Linked DNA regions of Schizosaccharomyces pombe. The gene in region 1 interacts genetically with each later gene. Each region holds a gene or a part of one and is shown in the gene's direction. Other genes may lie near its edges. The genes, in order: cip1, upf1, atf1 and csx1.

Evidence for each region.
Region 2: of cip1 (region 1) and upf1, a mutation in one rescues a mutant of the other (synthetic rescue), as found in Schizosaccharomyces pombe (one study listed by BioGRID).
Region 3: of cip1 (region 1) and atf1, a mutation in one rescues a mutant of the other (synthetic rescue), as found in Schizosaccharomyces pombe (one study listed by BioGRID).
Region 4: of cip1 (region 1) and csx1, a mutation in one rescues a mutant of the other (synthetic rescue), as found in Schizosaccharomyces pombe (one study listed by BioGRID).

The regions. Positions count from the first base shown.
Region 1 is NC_003423.3:4,261,296-4,265,942, reverse strand, and holds cip1 (RNA-binding protein Cip1), read left to right. Parts: upstream 1-1,865; 5' UTR 1,866-1,997; coding exon 1,998-3,470; 3' UTR 3,471-4,125; downstream 4,126-4,647. Other genes in the region: SPOM_SPBC16A3.17C (transporter), read right to left, coding at 1-384; NuA4 histone acetyltransferase complex subunit Eaf7, read left to right, coding at 4,624-4,647. UniProt on the Schizosaccharomyces pombe protein: Regulates global gene expression after oxidative stress. Interacts and stabilizes mRNAs and may regulate their transition between different cytoplasmic components after oxidative stress.
Region 2 is NC_003424.3:800,591-806,121, reverse strand, and holds upf1 (ATP-dependent RNA helicase Upf1), read left to right. Parts: upstream 1-1,988; 5' UTR 1,989-2,034; coding exon 2,035-4,812; 3' UTR 4,813-4,981; downstream 4,982-5,531. Other genes in the region: DYRK family protein kinase Pom2, read right to left, coding at 1-1,126; Clr6 histone deacetylase-associated PHD protein-1 Cph1, read right to left, coding at 5,358-5,531. UniProt on the Schizosaccharomyces pombe protein: RNA-dependent helicase required for nonsense-mediated decay (NMD) of aberrant mRNAs containing premature stop codons and modulates the expression level of normal mRNAs. Also capable of unwinding double-stranded DNA and translocating on single-stranded DNA.
Region 3 is NC_003423.3:1,544,307-1,550,412, forward strand, and holds atf1 (Atf-CREB family transcription factor Atf1), read left to right. Parts: upstream 1-1,910; 5' UTR 1,911-2,158; exon of another isoform or gene 2,159-2,554; intron 2,555-3,013; 5' UTR 3,014-3,354; coding exon 3,355-5,055; 3' UTR 5,056-5,556; downstream 5,557-6,106. Other genes in the region: contractile ring-membrane anchor Fic1, read right to left, coding at 1-359, 413-460.
Region 4 is NC_003424.3:3,569,479-3,574,269, reverse strand, and holds csx1 (RNA-binding protein Csx1), read left to right. Parts: upstream 1-1,924; coding exon 1,925-3,823; 3' UTR 3,824-4,263; downstream 4,264-4,791. Other genes in the region: spliceosome complex disassembly protein Ntr2, read left to right, coding at 4,731-4,791. UniProt on the Schizosaccharomyces pombe protein: Regulates global gene expression after oxidative stress. Interacts and stabilizes atf1 and pcr1 mRNAs after oxidative stress, thus controlling their turnover.

The DNA.
Region 1 (4,647 bases):
ATTAAAGTCTTCAGCTATAGTCGGCAAAGCAGTGGTGACAATTGTATTATCTAATGCAGCAAGAAACAAAGTAAGAATTAAGGCAGGAACCACTATTTTCATATTATTTTCTGGGATTAATTGTATATTGGTATCATCATCATTAGAAGCAGATTCTTGTTTAGAGAATTCAGTGGATTGCTTATGCACGTCAAGTTCATTCACTTTGTTTTCATCCGGAACTATGTCGGTTTCTTTAACTTCCTTTTCTTCATTGGAAGGATATGCTGTCAATATAAAAGGACTGGTGGTCTTTTTAAGGGATAGTCCATCTATTGAATTTTGCCCTTCAGCAGCATTTGTTTTAGAGCCGGAAAATGAGTTGTGAGATGAAGAACTAGACATTGCGTATAATTTATGCTCTTGAATAATAAAAATTTTTTAAACAAATGGCCGCTAGTTGAGATGGACGTTTTTTAGACAATTTTACAAATATTTTTAAGGGGGAGAATAAAGAAAAACAAAGACAAGTAAACAAGGAAATATCCTAATAATAAAGCACTAAAAACCCTATCCAAACGCTTATATATTCCTTATAGTCAAATTTCTCATTGTTGAGTCTTATGGTGATTAATTTGGTAAGCGGCTTGCTAGTGGTATTCAGTAAATTTTTATACAAATATGTGTCTAAGTGATTATCACGAAAATCAGACTACTAGCACAATAACATAATCCATCGAGATCTAATACAATTTAAATAAGGAGAAAAGTGAGAGATGTGACATATATTTGTATGCACACTGACAAATTGTTTTGCAGTATTTGCTTTCTCCGGTACGTCGCTCCCCCTTATAATGAACTTCTTTAGTAAGCAGGAGGAGCTTGAACGCACTTCTCAAGAGTGCATCCTTGTTGTCATTCTAGATATGGTTAAACGACAACATGCGAAATATATCAAATAGAAATTTGCGTGGAGATTCCGCGTATCTACAACAGCTTTTAGCCACGTGTCAATTACACGAACCAAGTTTGAAGTGGTAAGATTTCTAAAATGTAATAAGAAACGCAAAAGGAGGTTTTAAAAAGTAATTTTTCCTCGAAGTGTGATACTTGAGTACATTTCAAAAGAAATGGGTGTGCACGGTGAAGCCTTTAAAAGTCATCTAACGATAGTAATTAATGCTGGATGGAAATAGTTCTTAACGCTTAATATAAGTGGTTTTTATGAAATAGAATAAAAGGGAGGATCGCTGCAGCCGTCAATGTACAACAACATGGCACTTGCTTGACATTTTAACGACTCAGCGAACGTATAGTAAATAAGATTACTTCGATAATTAATAGGTGTCGGTTGAAATAACATTTCGTCTATTAGCGAATGAAGGATCGATAATAAAAGCATTCAAATATGCCTGGCATTGTACATTTCCATGATACGCCTTAAAACAAAATAGCAAGTCTGAAGTCAACAGGAACAGTATAGTAAAAAGAAATAGCAGAAAGGAAGAAAAGTTAAGCAATGCTCAAGTCTACTCGAATTTGGCTAATGGAGAGTCCAGCTGTCTACTTTTATTTATCTATACTCTTCTACAGCTGACAAGATACTCGTTTTCGGTAAGGCACAGCTAATTTAGATTACTCGTTTATCATGAGAGATAGCAAAAAAGCTAAGAACAGCTTCAATCGGCTTTTTACGTTCATACTGCTACTCAATATGTTCAGATTTATATTCCTATTAATTATTAACTGCCTTACTATTTACGCAAACAAGTAAGTATATTTTTTTTTGTGTATAGTAAAGTGTTTGCTGCTTTTCGTTGTATTTTGTTAAACAATTTGGTGTGCTACCGTGTGATGCTGCTGAAAGAGACGCTCAATTAATCCTTAGACTGAACTAGCATCTACAAGTGCAGTATTCTAAGGGGCAAATTACGGGAATTTCCTAGTCAATTTTCTCTGTTTTCACATATAACTTTTATTCCTCAGAATATATCTGGACTCGTTCCCCCGCATCTAGAATGCCTAATGAAATATTTCCCTGGAAAATTCGTGTGGATGAAAGTCGAGGATTAGCAGGTAATTCTGGGACGAAAAAATCAAATCATGAAGCATTATCAAGATTACAATCACCCTTGAATTCTCCTAAGCTACAGCCAATTGGTTCTCCTCAGGCTTCTAGGAAAACAAGCGGTTCCGGTTCGAGTGCTCCGCTGTACCCCAAATGGTCCGGTGCCCTTTCTCTTGCTAGTAGTCGTGCTGCATCGCCGGCTCCTTCTGATAGCTTTCCTACTTTTGGTTATTCTCAGCTTGGTGGGCTAGAAAATAGTTCTAAAGGTTCCGCGCTTTTTAACAGCGCCAATTCTATTGGAACTCCGTACCTCTCGTCCAGGAACTCAAATTCAGCAAATGAGGCGAGTGCTATGGCTTTCCACAATGTCTCTCCTCCTAGTGGTGCTGAATCTTCTTCAGAAAGTAAAAGCTTTTCTGCCAGTGGAAAAGGCAATAAAGCTGATACATCCGCAGAGCCTTCGTTGGATGCTTTTAACAGTACCCAAATCAAAGCAGGATCGACTGCCAATTCTAATTCAACACCGGTTGAACCCGGTGAAGATACCATTCCAACGGCTATTGTTGTGAAAAATATTCCTTTCTCGTTGGAGAAAGATACATTGTTGGATCATTTTAAGCAACTAGGTATTCCCAGACCTTATGCCTTTAATTATCACTATGACAATGGAATATTTCGAGGATTGGCTTTTGCTAATTTTTATCGTCCTGAAGAGGCTCAAGTTGTTGTGCAAACGCTTAATGGCTATGAAATTAATGGCAGACGTCTTCGTGTTGAATGGAAACGCCAATTACCAGCTGCAGAACGCGAGAAGGTGGAAAAAGCAAAGAAACGTCAAGCTGAAGAAAGACGTCGTAAACAGCAGTACAAGATGTTTGAAGTTAGCTTTACTGATCAAGGCTTAAATTTGAATGACACTGGTACCCTTGAAACTTATAGTAGACTTCTATTGTTTGCTCATCAATGCATTCCTTCTCGTGAAATAACATTTGAAACCACTTCTAAGGACGGAAACCTTCTAAATGCCATTAGAATCTTTTGCCTGTACTTTGATCTCGATTACTATGCTCGCCCGAATGGAGAGGTGTTAAAATTAGTAGTTACTCATCCGAATAAAAAGAATACGAGCGTAAGTCAGTCGCAACCTGCATCTCCAAATTTAAGATTTAATATGCCGGCACCGTTAGCTACTCGATTTTTGCAAGAGCATTCATTGAATGGTACTAAGAGTGCCCCTATAACCCCACCTCCCAGTTTCGCAGTACCATTGACAAACCAACTTCGTTCGATTGACGACAAAATTTATGGAAATGAATCACCGCTTCAAAAGGCTTCTACTTTGAGTTCACCTTTCAATTCAAAAAATGATAATGATGCTTCTACCTCCGCTTCCAAGCAGAGTTTTGGTGTCTCCCACTTTTAGAGTCTATGCAATTATAAAGAAACTGTTTATGTACCTTTTAAGATATGATTTTTGTTTACGCCAACTATAGATGCATTTACTATACGCTATTTGTTTTGACTAAATTTTGCTCTTTATCCCTTTATCACTTACTTCTGATGAATCTAAACTCTATGGGCTTCATTTTGTTGATTTTTTGTTTTCCCTTTCACATAGTTGGTTATCCAGCAAATAATCCTTTTAAATACTTAGAAGCTTATATTTTATCGTTTTGAATTCCCACGACACATTTGGACGACTCGACTTAACAGCAATCAATGATGGATATATGTTGGGTGAGGCATAATGTTTTATGACGATAATCAACGGATGAGCGATGCTCCTATTTTTTTACAAATTATAACGATTTTTCTTGTATAAGAAATTTATGCCCTACCGTATAATATACACATACTTTACATGATTAAATTTAACCTTGGACAAATACATTAGTCTGATATTACAAAATTGAACTTTTATTTTTGTAAATTTAATCATCTTCTTTATGTGGATGTGAATGTTCCTAGCTTAGTATTACCGTACTATGGATATAGAAATAAACCTACGATTTAAAGTCTATTTTCTACCAAGCTTGTAGGGCTTTAAATGAGCTACTTTAAAATTACCTAAAATATCGTTAAATTTTCCTATATAATGCGAATTGATTTATATGTAAAAAAGAAAAAGAAATTGCAAGCATGGTGGACTTTTAGTTCCATTGTTAGTAAGTTGTAATTAAAGGAAGTTACAAAGGATTCACTAAAATAAGAATACTTTATGGGTTATCGCAGCCTTACTCAATTACTGCACTTGAATGTCTATTGAATTTAAGAATGAAGAAAGGATAACACAAAGATGCACGATTCTTTTTGGATGAACTTTTATTTTTTGTTAAGGTTATGAAAAAAGATGAAATACACTTGACCTTGTAATTACTGCAGCTAGAAAAAGAAAATATTATAAAAACCAGTTTCATGAGTTATGGCTGGAAGTACCGCACAACACCATAAATATTGATAATCTGCTATATTGCCGATAATATAAAGTTAAATTAGTAGAAAAAGTAAACTAAGAAACAGAAATTTTCTTATTTTACCCATATAAACCTATGTATTAGAGGATAGCAATTGTATTTATGAGTTCGAGGGGAACAAGATCA
Region 2 (5,531 bases), on another chromosome or scaffold:
GAACTTTTGAACCGGGAGCCCTCGGAAGTCTACGTAACGTAGAAGCGGATGAATAACTAGAAATTGTTGAACCTGGAGGGCGAAATTTCGAATTTTTGTTAAACTTCTTACCACTTGGTCTGTTACCATAAGTGTCCAGAGGAGTTGTAGAACCAGAAAAACCAACAATTTCTGACATAGGAGAATAAGGCCTATTATTTAAAGGAATACTTTTATATGGACTAAAGTTGAGATCTTTTTGATGATCATTGTCTCTTTGGGACGTTAATTTCGTAGATTGTGATGCATGTCCGTATGAACTGCTCTGAATATTATTATTAAAATTGGATGGTTTCATTCGCGAAGCCATTCTTGCAGTATCATCAGCTCTTTTAGAATTTTTTCCGAGGGTTCTGGGTCCATTTACTATAGAAGACCGTGGTGAAGCAAATTGAGAACATTCATGGAATTTCGATTGTTGTGGATATTCATATTTGTTAGTTTCAGAAGATAATGTTTTTTTTTTGTTCATGGGATAATTCGTTCCTCCTGGGGTTTCATCTAGCTGATTAATAGTTTCTTCGTAAGCTAAAGTTTTTGTCTTGCTTAATTTGTTGAGTGGATGTCGGTTTTCGACTGTAGGGATGGTTTCATATTCTTTGCTGGAATTGGGATTAGCAAGCTTTTCTAGTACAATGCGACGGTTTTGAGATATAACTGGGTTGTCTAATTTTCCACTCTGTATGTTGTCATGAAGCGATGCATCTTGTAAACCATCCAAAGTACTCAAATTTTTATTCAGAAAGATTTCTTTTAGATCTGCAAAATGATGCAATCCTTTTTTCTGTGCCAAGTGTTCATCTTTAAAGGACTTCTCTTCTATTCCAACAGCCGATTTTTCTTCATTTTGATCGGGCTTGTTAGGCCTTTTCACACTATTTATTAATTCTGTAAGTATTTTGCTATTGTGTGAATATTGGCGTTGCGATAACAGAAATACGGGCTCTTTAAAAGTAGAATGAGCTCTTAGAGGACTGCATGTCTGTTCAGTCAGATTATTAGGAGAAAGGAAATTAGACACTGGGGCTGAGGAACTTTTACTCTCCTGTTTAGGCAGCGTTTCGCTTGTACTTATTAACCCCACCATTTATAATTGTTGTCGAAGTTGATTAACGTAAAGAAAGTAGAAAAATCAAATAATTAAAGGCACTAGCTGCTTAAACCAGGGTGGGGAAAAATGAAATGTTGTGAAACGAAAAATAATTTTAAAAGAAGGAATTAAACCCGGATTTGGAGAACAAATACTTACAAGTAAATCAACTTGTTAAACGCAGCATTCGAAGTCCCCTCTTTGAAGCCTCTTCAGTTCATGAAGAGTTTGCCGCTAAGCACCACATAAACTCCAAGAAGTTCAGACAATTAAGAGGCCTGAAATTCTTAAAATTATTTCAATTTGGATAGTTTCACACGGGCAGTTGTTGTATAGGTGGAAGTAACACACTCCTTGAAAAGTTCAAAATGGGTAACGGTACACTTGGTATGCTAACTTCCAGAGCGAGTAGATACAACTCTCATGTTAATAAATTTGTATAGAGTCCGATATTAAGTTAAAAATATCTGTTTATTACTTTTCGACAACTGTTAGTCAAAAAATTAATAGTCTTCAATATGATTGTTTACATGGTCTCAGCAACCGTTTATATAATTTTGTTTAATTCCAATAGTGAGCACCGATTTGTGTCACAATACTACAGTGCTCTACCTTATTTAGTAATCTATAGTACGACCAGCTGTTTCAAGAACGTAAATGATCATCTCGAAACTGACAAAATTTATCTACCCTGAATAGATATAATATCTTACAAGTAAATGAGTCTTGCTATTGTTAGTTTTTCCCATTAACGGCGTTTTTTGTTTACGTTTTAGGGAGCTTCCTAGCAGCACATTTTAACTCATTAAACCTCACTAAATGACTAACCTTTCTTTCTAAAAATGTGTTACAATTATTTACACTTTGCAAATTGACGGCTTAATAACATATCAAGTTGTCTTTCCATGTCTTTAGGGCTACAACCTAATAATGATATTTCATCTTTAGTTAGTTCAAAAAATATGACTTCTGAAAATGGACTAGAGCATCAATTTGAAGAATTATTAGTCGAAAAACAATATTCTGAAGAACACTGTGCCTATTGCCACATAAAGAATCCAAATTCTATATTGAAATGTTTGCATTGTAATAAATGGTTTTGTAATGTAAGAGGGAAATCTGGAGCTTCGCATATCATTAGTCACCTAGTTCGTGCTCGACATAAGCAGGTTGCTTTACATAGCCATTCTTCTCTTTCAGACACAGTACTTGAGTGTTATAATTGTGGAACGAGAAATGTGTTTCTATTAGGATTTATACCAGCAAAAGCTAAGACAGTGGTTGTTTTATTATGCCGACAACCTTGTGCTAGAGCTAGCATAGCTAAGGATATGAACTGGGACTTGACTCAATGGCAACCCATTATTTCAGATCGTCAGTTTCTTCCATGGTTGATAACTCCTCCATCCGAAGAGGAACAAAAGCTTGCAATCCCAATCACTTCACAGCAAATGGTTAGGCTTGAAGAACTTTGGCGTAAAGACCCTAATGCTAACCTCGAAGACTTGGATAAGCCCATTGAGGATGATTCATTACCTTCAGTAGAACTTCGATATAAAGATGCTCACGCGTATCAAGCAGTTCTTTCTCCGCTCATTCAAGCGGAGGCTGACTATGATAAACGACTCAAAGAATCGCAGACTCAAAAAGATGTTGTGGTTCGGTGGGATCAAGCTATCAATAAACGATATACTGCTTGGTTTCTCCTTCCCAAACTTGAATCTGGTGAAATTCGGTTGGCCATAGGAGATGAAATGAAGCTTACATATGAAGGAGAACTAAGAGCACCCTGGAGCTCCACAGGATATGTTATTAAAATTCCTAACAACGTTTCAGATGAGGTAGGTTTAGAACTGAAGCGTTCAGATAAAGTACCTATCGAATGTACTCATAATTTTTCCGTCGATTATGTTTGGAAATCTACTTCATTTGATCGAATGCAGACTGCTTTGAGGTTATTTGCTACAGACGGATCACGTCTTTCAAGCTTTTTGTATCATAAATTGCTAGGACACGATATCCCTCCTTCCTTCCTGAAACCAAAATTACCGTCTGATTTATCGGTGCCTAATCTGCCAAAATTGAATGCTAGTCAGAGCGAAGCTGTTCGTGCAGTATTAAGTAAGCCACTCTCGTTAATTCAAGGGCCGCCAGGTACTGGAAAAACTGTCACCTCAGCATCTGTAGTCTATCACCTGGCCACGATGCAATCACGCAAGCGTAAATCCCATTCTCCCGTATTAGTTTGTGCACCTTCGAATGTTGCTGTTGACCAACTTGCTGAAAAAATACATCGTACAGGACTTCGTGTCGTTCGAGTTGCCGCAAAGTCTAGAGAAGACATAGAATCATCGGTTTCCTTTTTATCTCTTCATGAGCAAATTAAAAACTATAAGTTTAATCCAGAGTTACAACGTTTATTGAAGCTACGAAGTGAAAATAACGAATTATCTATTCAGGATGAAAAAAAACTGCGTATTTTGGTTGCTGCTGCCGAAAAAGAACTATTACGTGCGGCTCATGTCATTTGTTGTACTTGTGTTGGTGCTGGTGATAGAAGGATTTCCAAGTACAAATTTCGTTCAGTACTTATTGACGAAGCTACACAGGCTTCAGAACCTGAATGCATGATTCCTTTAGTTTTAGGCGCCAAACAAGTAGTACTTGTTGGTGATCACCAACAACTGGGACCGGTTGTTATGAATAAAAAGGTTGCATTAGCTAGCCTTTCCCAATCACTTTTTGAGCGACTGATTATATTAGGAAACTCTCCTTTCAGATTAGTTGTGCAATATCGTATGCATCCCTGTCTTTCAGAATTTCCATCGAACACTTTTTATGAAGGTACTCTTCAAAATGGTGTCACTACTTCTGAGCGTATTGCTAGACATGTTGATTTTCCATGGATACAACCTGATTCGCCATTAATGTTTTATGCAAATTTCGGTCAGGAAGAGCTGTCGGCTAGCGGTACATCATTTTTAAACAGAACGGAAGCCTCAACGTGTGAAAAAATTGTTACCACATTTTTAAGAAGCAACGTGCTTCCTGAGCAAATTGGTATTGTTACTCCATATGATGGTCAGCGTTCCTATATTGTTCAGTACATGCAAAATAACGGATCAATGCAGAAGGATCTTTATAAAGCTGTTGAAGTAGCATCGGTGGATGCGTTCCAAGGAAGAGAAAAGGACTTCATTATTTTGTCGTGTGTACGTTCTAGTGAACACCAAGGTATTGGTTTTGTTAACGATCCAAGAAGGTTGAACGTTGCATTGACTCGAGCAAAGTATGGTGTAATTGTTCTCGGTAATCCAAAAGTCCTTGCTAAACATGCTTTATGGTATCATTTTGTCCTCCATTGCAAGGAAAAAGGATATTTAGTTGAAGGCACTTTGAACAGCTTACAAAAGTTTTCCTTAACCCTTACTCCTCCTCAGAAACCTCAAAAATTTAAAAGAGACCTCAATGTACAAAGATCACTATCTCCTATACAGAATGCCGGTTCTGCCATGTTACCTTCGTTTTCTAATCTTCCGAACTTATACTCTTCCTCGTATCTTGAAGAATGGAATGTCTTTGCTCAATACAAACGAAGAGAAAGCAACGCTACCGACTTTGAAGACTTTAGAAGTCAGGTTGGTGATGATGAAAGCAAGTTCGACGAACCTACTAGGTTCTAGTTAATAAGTATTTGCTTACTTGTAATTACGAATGCCAACATATCTTTTATTTGTTGATATTTTTGGTGTTCAAGTTTTATGGACCGTTTGGTCTGTAAGCGTTTTAAACCATTGATATGGCTGTTAAATAGACTTTAGTAATAGAACCTTTCCTTATCACTTTCTTTTATTTTATTCCTCTTTGTCTAGTAAATGCATCTTACTCATATATACTTATATATACTTATATATACTTATATATACTCACACGGTACAATACGCGTATAAAATTTAAGTATTGAGAAGTTGTTAGTATAAAATAGAACTTTTGCCCTATTAGGAAGGATTTGCAATGATTAATTGCATAACGAAAATTTTTTAAAAGCCTTAATGGAGAAAAGTAATGTAAAATAAGCCAATTACAACAGATAGCCAGTTCTAAGAGGTTTTATAAATACAACATTAGCAAAAAAATAACAGAAAACAACCTTTTCTGACGATTTGAACACGACAGATTAGATTAACGTAGTCTGATTTTATACAAAATGTAAAAATATCGTAAAAATTCAAGTGCGTGCCTTATTGAATAAAGTGCGTAGTGCAATAGGTAGGTTTGGGTGCGTTCTCGCAGGAAGTAGTGCGCTTTTTACGTCTGGAGGAATAACCTCTAACTCTCGTTTTTTCCTTTCATTATTAAACTTTTTAGCTTCTATGCCAATCGCGTACAAAAAATCTTTGAT
Region 3 (6,106 bases), 2.7 Mb from region 1:
GCACGGTCAAAGTATAGAGGATCAGTGGGGATAAACTTGAATTGCACAGATAGCTCGCCAGCAAATTGGAACTCATTTTTTAGTTCATACCATTCACTTTGTAACTCTTCTTTCATCGCTTTCTCAAAAGACAATACAGTATCACCAATCAAGTGTGGATGCTTTCGAAATCCCTCGTGAAAAACGGTTATTTTCATAATATGATAAGATTCACTGGGAATGTTAAACTCCAGTACCGCATTCCACGATGGTTCTTGACCGCTTCTCTTATCCGTTTGCGTACGTTTTACCACCTCACCAACTCTGCAAACGCAGTAAGGGCTTTGTTTGCCCACTAGAGCCTTGTTTGGTAAATTTTTCTAAAGAAGACACGTTAGTTTTACAAAACAAATCTTCATCTTTTAAGACTTACAGCTTTCCATATTCGGACAACCAACGTTCCAAGAGGATTCTTTGACATATGGTAGATGGAGAAACGGGTTATAAACAAAAAAGCTACTTTATACAATTCGAGTGCGGATTTTAAGCAGTGCAGCGCAACTTCTGTAGGAGGGGGCTGGTTTGTCTCCGATAACGGGGGTTAGCTTTCGTTCATTCATTTAACGTAGCTTACTGCAATTTAAAATGCTTTAACGGAAATTTGTGTACGCTACGATATTGATGGCTCCAGTTAGGAAATTCGTGAAGAAAGATGCCGTGTTAAAAAAAATTAAAAATTAACAAAAAAAAAAAAAAAAAAAGAGAGACGAAAGTTATCGCAAACAAAAAGAACTTTATTAATATAACTAATTGCATTAATGATTGACTCAGTACACACCACACAAATATATTCACTTAATTTTAATTGTTTTAAAATGAGTGTAAAATATCTATTGGTATAACCAATTCCATCACAATTGCTAATTGAATGGAATGATTTGCATAAAATGTTTCTAACTTAATTTTTTTATTCTTTTATGTTTCACGAATACAAATTTATTTTGTTTTTAAAAAACTTCATTTTCTTTGCTTATCTTTTGGGTAGTTTTCGGATCCGTAATCCCAACAAAATGCCAACCCGTATTGACTAATAAGTTCCCGAAAATGTAAGCAAAAGATTTCATTGTAAAACAAATGAATTAGCTATTAAAACTGTTATTTAAATGTTGTAAGGGTTGGTATGTTATATATACAATCTAAGTCTATGTAAAGACTTTTTGAAAGATCCTACTGTACAGAATTCTCCATAATTGAATTCGTGACAAGTACTCATAATATTTGAAACTTGTATATTATTTCTGCGTATAACCTATCTTTATTTTTATTTTAATTTTATTTTTTACTTTATTTTATTTTATTTTATTTTATTTTTTCGTAGGTCTTCTGGAACTGCTGGATCTATTCATACATTGCTAATTACTCAGCGTACGTACACATCTTACAAACACGCAGAAGTCCAACCTAAAACACTTACCTACATACAACATAATATCAGAAATACACGCAACGATTTAGCTTCATCAAAGATATATTATTTATTCATTCATCGGTTAATATAAAATAAGCTTGAGTTAAGAGTGAAATAAGATTCATGGCACTATACACAAACTCACCATTTTTACTACATATTGCTAACATCATATTTGCTTAAAAAGCACGCACTCCATGATATACCAATAACATCCTACTTTCCGTCCATCCTTTCCCATTCCCCAAACTATCGATACGTTTCTTAACGATACGATAACACAAAATACAAAACTACACAGCAGTACTTTAAGTATCGTCTTGCTCGGTTTATTCCAGACCCATTTCCTTGTTACCCTTCTTCAGAGCCCCGCACGTGATTGGTTAAGTTCAATCATGCAAAGTGATGCAATGACGTCATCTGTTTGAAACAGGTGGAAGTGTGGCACTAGGAATTTACAACTTACCCTTTACTTACAACATAAGAAGAAAGAAACTACTTAGGAAATTGCTAAAAAGTTTACTTTGAGCACTTTTTGAACGATTGAATTGACGAAAACCATTTTTCTGTTTGTAAATTTCAGTTTGGACAGTTGACCGAGTCTTTTCATCATTTATACAGTAGTCATCGCTTAGTTGGATCTGAATTACGAATTCTCTGGTTCATGACGACGACCTGCTACTAGTACGTTTGGTTGATTAAGTCAAATAGGTATGTGTTTATACATGCAATTGTGAAGTTTGATTATGTAAAAGGCTGTAAAATTGGAAGAGCGTGATAAAAACGTGACGGGTTGTGTTGAAAACCGAATTTTTATGAAAATTTGAAAATTTGCTCCTATCGTCATTGACCCTACTAAACATGACGAGTATGACGCTTTCTTATCAATAACACTGATCGTTATGGGGTTGTTAGTTTACAGGAAACGTAAAATGTGTTTGGAATTCCTTCGTTTTTTGAGGGTTTGGAAATTTTTTTTTGGTGTTGTTGTGCTAGAAAATTTTACTTGTTACCATTGTAGGTTACTATTGCCTTGACTGAACTGGGATCTATGTGGTGGCAACTTTTGATGAATGATTTCTCGGAAGTGAATAAACGCACACGGGAAGAGAACAAGAGTAGAAAGGAAGCTAGAAGAGCGGAAAACCCGTTTTGTCTCGTTTTTGGCAAAAAAATTTCCAAAAAAGAAAAACGGGTGTTTTAGCAGGTGTATTTGCTGTTGAAGTACGAATCTCTTTATTACTCTACGCTTGACTGTACTCTCTCACATTAAGTTCTGAAACTCATTCAAAAAAGGCCTCCACATTCATATAATCCAAATCAACACACCCTAACAAAAACGATCGAACGAAGAAAAGGAAAAGAACAAAGAGTAGGAACATCCCTTTTATCTTTTGTAATTCTTTATTAGTTTCTTTGTTATTTTATTTGGACATGTTCTTTTACAAACTTGACTATTACCTTTGCGAGTTTTTTTTTACCCTTTGTAGAATATCTTCCTTCACAATCTTGCATATCTAGTCTTCTAGCTTTGCCTGTACAGACATCTAACTAATTCTCGTCTAGAGCCTCCGTCGCGGTTTTCCCTTTTTTTTTCGAGAAAGTTGTATTTTTATCTCCTTAATCTCCTCCTCCTTTTTTTTTCTTTTCTTTTTTATTGAAACAATATAGTTTCTATTTTTTCTGCTTTATCAGCCGTTATTACTTCTGTCTTGTCAAATTTGGAAAGCCATTAATTTCTTGTAGTTGTTTTTTTATTTAGTTTTGACAAAACTATTTTCGATCTTCTCTTTAAACGGGTTCATCTATATATCTAAATTATTTATTTTCGTTATTTAAGCGTGTGTGATTTTTAACGTCATCTCTTAATACATTTTGTCAAGTGTTAAAGCATAAATTCTTCAATTATGTCCCCGTCTCCCGTCAATACTTCCACAGAACCAGCATCTGTTGCCGCTGTTTCAAATGGTAATGCTACTGCTTCCAGTACTCAGGTTCCGGAAAACAATCAATCTGATTCATTTGCACCACCAAGCAACAATTCTCAGCAGAATCAACAGTCTTCAACTATCGCTCCTAATGGAGGGGCCGGATCTGTCGCTAATGCGAATCCAGCTGACCAATCCGATGGTGTAACTCCGTCTTTCGTAGGCTCCTTGAAGCTGGATTACGAACCCAACCCCTTTGAGCATTCATTTGGCTCTACCGCTTCGGTTGGACAAGGAAATCCTTCTCTTAATCGTAATCCTAGCCTTAGTAACATTCCTTCAGGTGTGCCTCCTGCGTTTGCGCGAACTCTCTTACCTCCTGTTTCTTCCATAGCATCACCTGATATCTTAAGTGGAGCTCCAGGTATTGCCTCGCCGTTGGGCTATCCTGCTTGGTCTGCTTTTACTCGTGGTACAATGCATAATCCCCTTTCTCCTGCTATTTATGATGCTACTCTTCGTCCTGACTACCTAAACAATCCTTCAGATGCATCTGCAGCAGCTAGATTTTCTAGTGGAACTGGATTTACTCCTGGTGTTAATGAACCCTTCCGATCTCTTTTAACCCCTACTGGAGCTGGATTTCCCGCTCCTTCACCTGGTACTGCCAATTTATTAGGGTTTCATACGTTTGATTCTCAATTTCCTGATCAATATCGTTTTACCCCAAGGGATGGTAAACCGCCTGTTGTAAATGGGACGAATGGTGACCAGTCTGATTATTTCGGTGCCAATGCTGCGGTTCATGGGTTATGCTTACTCTCCCAGGTTCCCGATCAGCAGCAAAAGCTTCAGCAACCCATCTCCTCTGAAAACGATCAAGCAGCATCCACCACTGCCAACAACCTCCTGAAGCAAACTCAGCAACAGACTTTCCCCGACTCTATCCGGCCATCTTTTACTCAAAATACTAACCCCCAAGCTGTTACAGGTACAATGAACCCTCAAGCATCTCGTACTCAGCAACAGCCTATGTACTTTATGGGGTCGCAACAATTTAACGGCATGCCATCTGTTTACGGCGATACAGTTAATCCTGCCGACCCTTCATTAACATTACGCCAAACCACGGACTTTTCCGGACAAAATGCCGAGAATGGATCCACAAATCTACCGCAAAAAACTTCTAATTCTGATATGCCAACGGCAAATTCGATGCCGGTCAAACTCGAAAATGGTACTGACTATTCCACTTCGCAAGAGCCTTCTAGTAATGCCAATAATCAATCCTCACCCACTTCTTCCATTAATGGTAAGGCTTCTAGTGAATCTGCCAACGGCACTTCGTATAGCAAAGGTTCATCTCGCCGGAATTCCAAAAACGAAACTGATGAAGAGAAACGTAAAAGCTTCCTGGAACGCAATCGACAAGCTGCTCTTAAATGTAGACAGCGTAAAAAACAATGGCTTTCTAATCTTCAAGCGAAGGTTGAATTTTATGGTAATGAAAATGAAATTTTAAGTGCACAAGTCAGTGCATTACGTGAGGAAATTGTGAGTTTGAAGACCTTATTGATTGCTCATAAAGACTGCCCAGTGGCCAAGAGTAATTCGGCTGCTGTTGCAACAAGTGTCATCGGAAGCGGTGATCTTGCTCAAAGAATCAATTTAGGGTACTAGACTGTTTTTGATCTGAAAAGGTCTCAGTCTGTGATGGTTGTAATGAAGAATAACGTTTTTACTTCCCTTTGACTTTCCCTCCGTTGAGGGTTGTAACGCCCTTTTCCATGCATTTAGCTATGTTATGGATGTGAAATTATATATGTTTATTTTACATTAAAAAATCTTTAGGCTTCTCTTTTTATATTTCTTCCCGTTTTCCATTACTGTTTTAATTTTGCACTGAACGCCGTCCCGCATGCATACTTTTAGTACTTTATGAAGTGATAAAATTTGTCTGTCGTGTCTAGTTCACTATAATATCGTTTGGACAACAAAAACTACACGCTTTCTTAATGTTTACCATTCATCACATGTGGCAGAGTTATAGAATACTACTTATAACTCATTCTTATGAGATTGATTTGATTTAATAATTAAAACTATATTATTTAGTAAGAATCAGCAGTGTTTTTAATAACAACTGATTACTGTTTTCCTTTAATGTAAGAAATCAACAAGTCTTAGTGTATTGTGGGAGTATTAATATCGTGAACAGTATATAAATCAAGTTAATGAATAGGTTTGTCATCGGTCATTTACATATCTATTATCATACGAACATGCATTCATAAGATGAAATCAAGTTAAAATTTGCACCTTCACAATATTTACTTTACTTAGTGAGTGTTTGTCGCTACATTGAGGATGTATACAAAAAGTGAAAATGAAATTACTGATGTTCACATTACAAAACGTATATAAAAATGCAAACGTTTGTTTCAATTTAGAACGAACTATTCAATTCTAACAACAATTAATAAAAAATAACAAATTAGAAAGCTTAATAAACATGAGATAAACTTGTTGAACGATTGATTAAACACAAATCTAATCATGCAACGTAAAAAAAAATAGACAACAATCAATCATCCAAAAATATATATTGCATAGATGTTGAATATTCAAACACTAAAAGAAAGTGTAGACATAATTAATTCACGAAGCTTTAGTATACAAATCAATGCTTATAATTTTTATCATTTGTTAAAAGATGGAAAAAAAAAACAAA
Region 4 (4,791 bases), on another chromosome or scaffold:
CTCACCATCCTCCCACATCAATCCTTACCTGATTTTCTCTCTCTCACGCACATACTCTCTCTACTGCCTTGTGCTCTCTCTGTCTCTCTCCCTTGTCCTCTTTCGATTCTTAACCTCGTAAATCTTACATCCATTTTTCGGACTTTGGTTTTCGGTACCGGTGCGCATCGCTGTCTCGCTTTTTTTCCTCGCTACGCATCCTTATTGCTCTCTTGGGATTTCGCCACTTTCCCTCGCCTTGCTTGTCTTGTGTTGCCTAGCTGATTGCATAGCCCATACTTCATTTGTGTTTATTACACACCGTACCCCCCTTGTTGTGTGTATACGTTTTTAAGGTCTCGCTATTTAAAGTGCTTGCCTAGTCTGGACACGCTCCTACTCTCTCCCATTCACTTTTACTTTTCACTCGTCTCCCAACGGTTCATCCTTTCTTTCCTTTACTTTGCTTTGCTTCGCTTTGCATTCGGAACCGGTTGTACTTTTTTTTTCTCTTTTTCGCTGCGTGACTTATTTATTTGTATTTTACCGAATTCCTCTAGCATTCCAGCGTTCTATCCTATCACCACTTTTTTTTTCATTTTTCTTCTTTTTCCCCTATTGAACGATTTCTCCTCTTCCCTACTCTATCGTTCCCTCTAAATTTTCCGTACCTTTTTGCAGATTCCTTACTTGGTTATATATTACTGACTGCTTTTGGTATCTTTTTTCCATTCTTCTTCTCGTCTCTTTCAAACTCTACCTTTCTCGAGAAGGAAAATTTTCCCTTTTACTTCCTCGCATACCGTATCCTCCTATTTAGCTATATCACTAGCGAAAAAAAGGACTACTCGATATCAAAAGGATTCGTTTGTTCTTTATATATTATAACATACATATACTGCACAGTATATATATATAAACCTATAATATACGGACACCTCTTTTTCCTGCATTGTATATATATTATATTTATATAATATATAATATAATATAATATATATATATATATTTGTCATTGTTGCTGTTGTTCTTTAACTTCATCAAAGAAAACACTTCTGTCCCCCCTGTCAGGTTCCTTCGTTTTTTATTGCACATATATATATATTTTTATTTTATTTTATTTTCTTTTCTTCTTCTCTTTCTGTGATTGATTAACTCGACTCGATTTTCTTTTTTCCTTTTCTTTATTTTCTCTCTTCCAACCTTTGGTTTCTTTTTCTTTTTTTTATTCTTCATACCTAATAATTTTCAGAAGAGACCTTGTTCATCGTTGTTTCCTTTTTCTTTCGTACATTGTATTACTTGTTTTATTATTTTTAAAATAAAAACTGAAGAACCCTGCTTCATCACAACCATCAGGTTTTCTTTTTCGTGTACCCATTCAGTGATTTTAACGAATTTTTCTTTCACGCCTCATTAAGGATTGTATTTTCGCTTTTTGTCTCATCAACAATCGAATAACTTTGTTTCTGTGTTTTTTTTTTATATTTTCACTTCAACAAGCTTTTTACCGCGAAACCATCTCATTTATTAATTTCCTTTTATTTCAGATCGATTTTGATTTTTATTCTTCCAATCCTCTTTAATACTCGATCTTTGTAACACTTTGTTTTAGTACTTCTTTTATTCCTGAATCTTTTTTTTTTTGCTCTTACCGTTACACTTTACGCAAGCAAAAAAAATTTCTCTTTTTTTTTTTATTAAATTGTTCTTGATTGTTCTATTAGCATTTCTTCATCTCAAGAGTTCTTAGACCTCTCGCTTTTTCGTCCTTGATTTATTTGTCTGTACGTTATAAGCTAAGCTTTATTTTGTTCATCGTTGAAAGATTCTACCACCCATTGTCTTATACTGGTTACGTTTTTTGACTTTTGTGTCTCATTGAAACTTTGTTGTTCATTCATATTACTTACTTTCTTTTACTTTTTTTTGGATATCTATTTAAATGTCTATTGACTGCCTTTATCGCCGTTCTTCATTGTTTGATACTTCCTTCGTCCCTTTGCATTCGTCTATTCCAGCAACCTCGAAAATGTCAGCTTCTAATTCAGATGTCAATGCCCCCATTTCCCCTGTGGTTGATGAGGGCAAATCAGAGTTAGTTTCTCCTACTTTGGAGAGACTTGTGGCTCCTTTCAACTGTTCTCCTAGCTCCACTCCACTTCAAGATGTAGCAGGTGTTGGCTCGAAAATGAGCGACACCTTATGGATGGGTGACCTGGAACCTTGGATGGACGCTACTTTTATTCAACAGCTCTGGGCTTCCCTCAACGAACCTGTCAACGTTAAAGTCATGCGCTCCAAAGCATCCTCTTCGGAAACGCTTATCAGCTATTGCTTCGTTCAGTTTTCCTCTTCTGCAGCTGCTGAGCGTGCTTTGATGAAGTATAATAACACCATGATTCCTGGTGCTCACTGTACCTTCAAGCTTAACTGGGCTACTGGTGGCGGCATTCAACATAACAACTTTGTTTCCCGTGATCCTGAGTTTAGTATCTTCGTTGGCGACCTTCTTCCCACTACCGAGGATTCGGATCTTTTTATGACTTTCCGTTCCATATATCCCTCATGTACCTCAGCCAAGATCATTGTCGATCCCGTTACCGGTCTCAGCAGGAAATATGGCTTTGTTCGCTTTTCAAGTGAGAAAGAACAACAACATGCCTTGATGCATATGCAGGGCTATTTGTGTCAAGGTCGCCCCTTACGCATCTCTGTCGCTTCACCAAAGTCTAGAGCCTCCATCGCCGCCGATTCTGCCCTTGGTATCGTTCCTACTTCTACTTCTAACCGCCAGCCTAATCAAGATCTTTGTAGCATGGATCCTTTGAACACTACGGTGTTTGTCGGTGGCTTGGCTAGCAATTTATCCGAGAAAGATTTGCAAGTTTGCTTTCAGCCCTTTGGAAGAATTTTGAACATCAAGATTCCCTTTGGCAAGGGATGTGGCTTTGTCCAGTACAGTGAAAAATCTGCTGCTGAAAAGGCCATAAACACTATGCAGGGTGCCTTAGTTGGTACTTCTCATATCCGCCTCGCGTGGGGTCATAATACGCTTCCTGTATCTGCCTTGTCTCAATCTCAATCCCAAGTTTCAGATGAGGGCTTCGACAGAACTCTTTCCGCTAACCAAATTTTCGGTATGAATCAATCTGTCATTGGAGCAAACTCTGGCAGCTCAAACTCATCCGGCTCTAGCTTGAAGAGTGCACCTGTTTCACCTCGTACTGCTGCTGCGCAATCTTTGTTGCCAAACTCCGTTGTTTCCTCAATCAATGGCATGAACTCCGTAAATTTTTCAACCATTTCTCCACCTCCTTTGTCTCGTTCAGCCTCCATTTCTCCTACGTTGTCCGGTAGTGGCTCAGGTTTGACACCTCTTTCTTCCCATTTCCCTTCAGCTGCCACTGGCTTGGTAGGCGGACAGGTGTATCCTCAGTCTTCTGTTTTGCAATCCTCAAAAATTAATGGTTCTGCAAAGGTCCAGCCTAGTGTGAAGCTCCCCGAATGGTTGCAGCCTTTTTCCGGCAACAATCATAACTCCTTTGCTACTCAAGATTTATTAACACGTGTTTCCTCCTTAAAGTTGGTTGATGATGAGCAACCTGCTTCTTTGAATGGTTCAGCATTTCAAGCGAGAGCTTCTAGGCCTTGGAACCTAGGAAGGGAGCGTCAGTCTTCACTAATTGATCTCCGTCATGAGTTGGAGCAAAATGAAAACGGTTTGGAGAAATCCGGCTTTGGTTTGAACTTGAGAGGTCGCTTGCCTCCTCGTTCTTATTCTACATTTAATTGTACTGGTCAATACTTGCAACCTTCTCTACGCTTGTCACGCGATTCATAAATTATTTTTATGATGTTTGAAATGCATTACTACTACTACTATTTGTTTCTTCCACTTCTCTTCTTAAGTGAAGGGATTTCCCGAATATTCTTGTTTTATTTCTAATGTTTTTGTTTTAATTTTTTATTTATTTTCGTTTTTCAAAGGCATCCGTATAAGTTTTCGAGGGCTCCTGATCAAGTTAGTTTAATGTCTTAAAGAACTGAAGGGTGCTCTCGTGATTTTTTTTATTTTGTTTTGTTTTTATTCTTGTATGTTAAATCTCTCTTGTGATGTTTTTTATAACTGTTGAATATTATTTGTGCCAAGGATTGTTTTATTTATGATTGTTTTATTTTTCTTTCATTGCTGTTGTTCCTTAATGCACATATGTACATGAAAACTTCCATTGAGGTTTTTCAAACGTCCAAATCTTTTTTTTGGATCGATGAGTTATTTATATGTTTTATTTTAAAATGTCCTTTCCAAAAAATAATTTTGTTATTTTTTCTTCTGATTTTCTAAATAATTAAAAGCATTGTTTTTGTTTTCAACTTATATAATGGAAATTTTCCAGTGACTGTAGTAGATATTGGTAGCTTGTCGATTGTAGCTTTTCAATTAAAAGTTTTAAATCTGAAACTTGAATTTCAAACACATTTCTCTAAAATTAGTCGAAAAAAATGTAAGTCAATTGAACAAATACTTTTCTGATGCTTTGCATTATCCGATGCACCTCTTCAGTATGTGCCATAATATTAAATGCCCAAGTAAAGACATTTATGTTTATCCCTTTCTAATTTTCACAGAACATAAAAACATCATTTTAATTAAGACTTTATATGATTTTTTTTTTACAAAAATAGCTATTCAATATGAAAGATTGGTAGAAATATGTTTGCCTAGAAAGTAGCACCCATTTACCAACATGCGACGATACTTAAAAAAGGCGAAGCCTAAAATCGTGCAAACGAGCGACAATGAGGAAG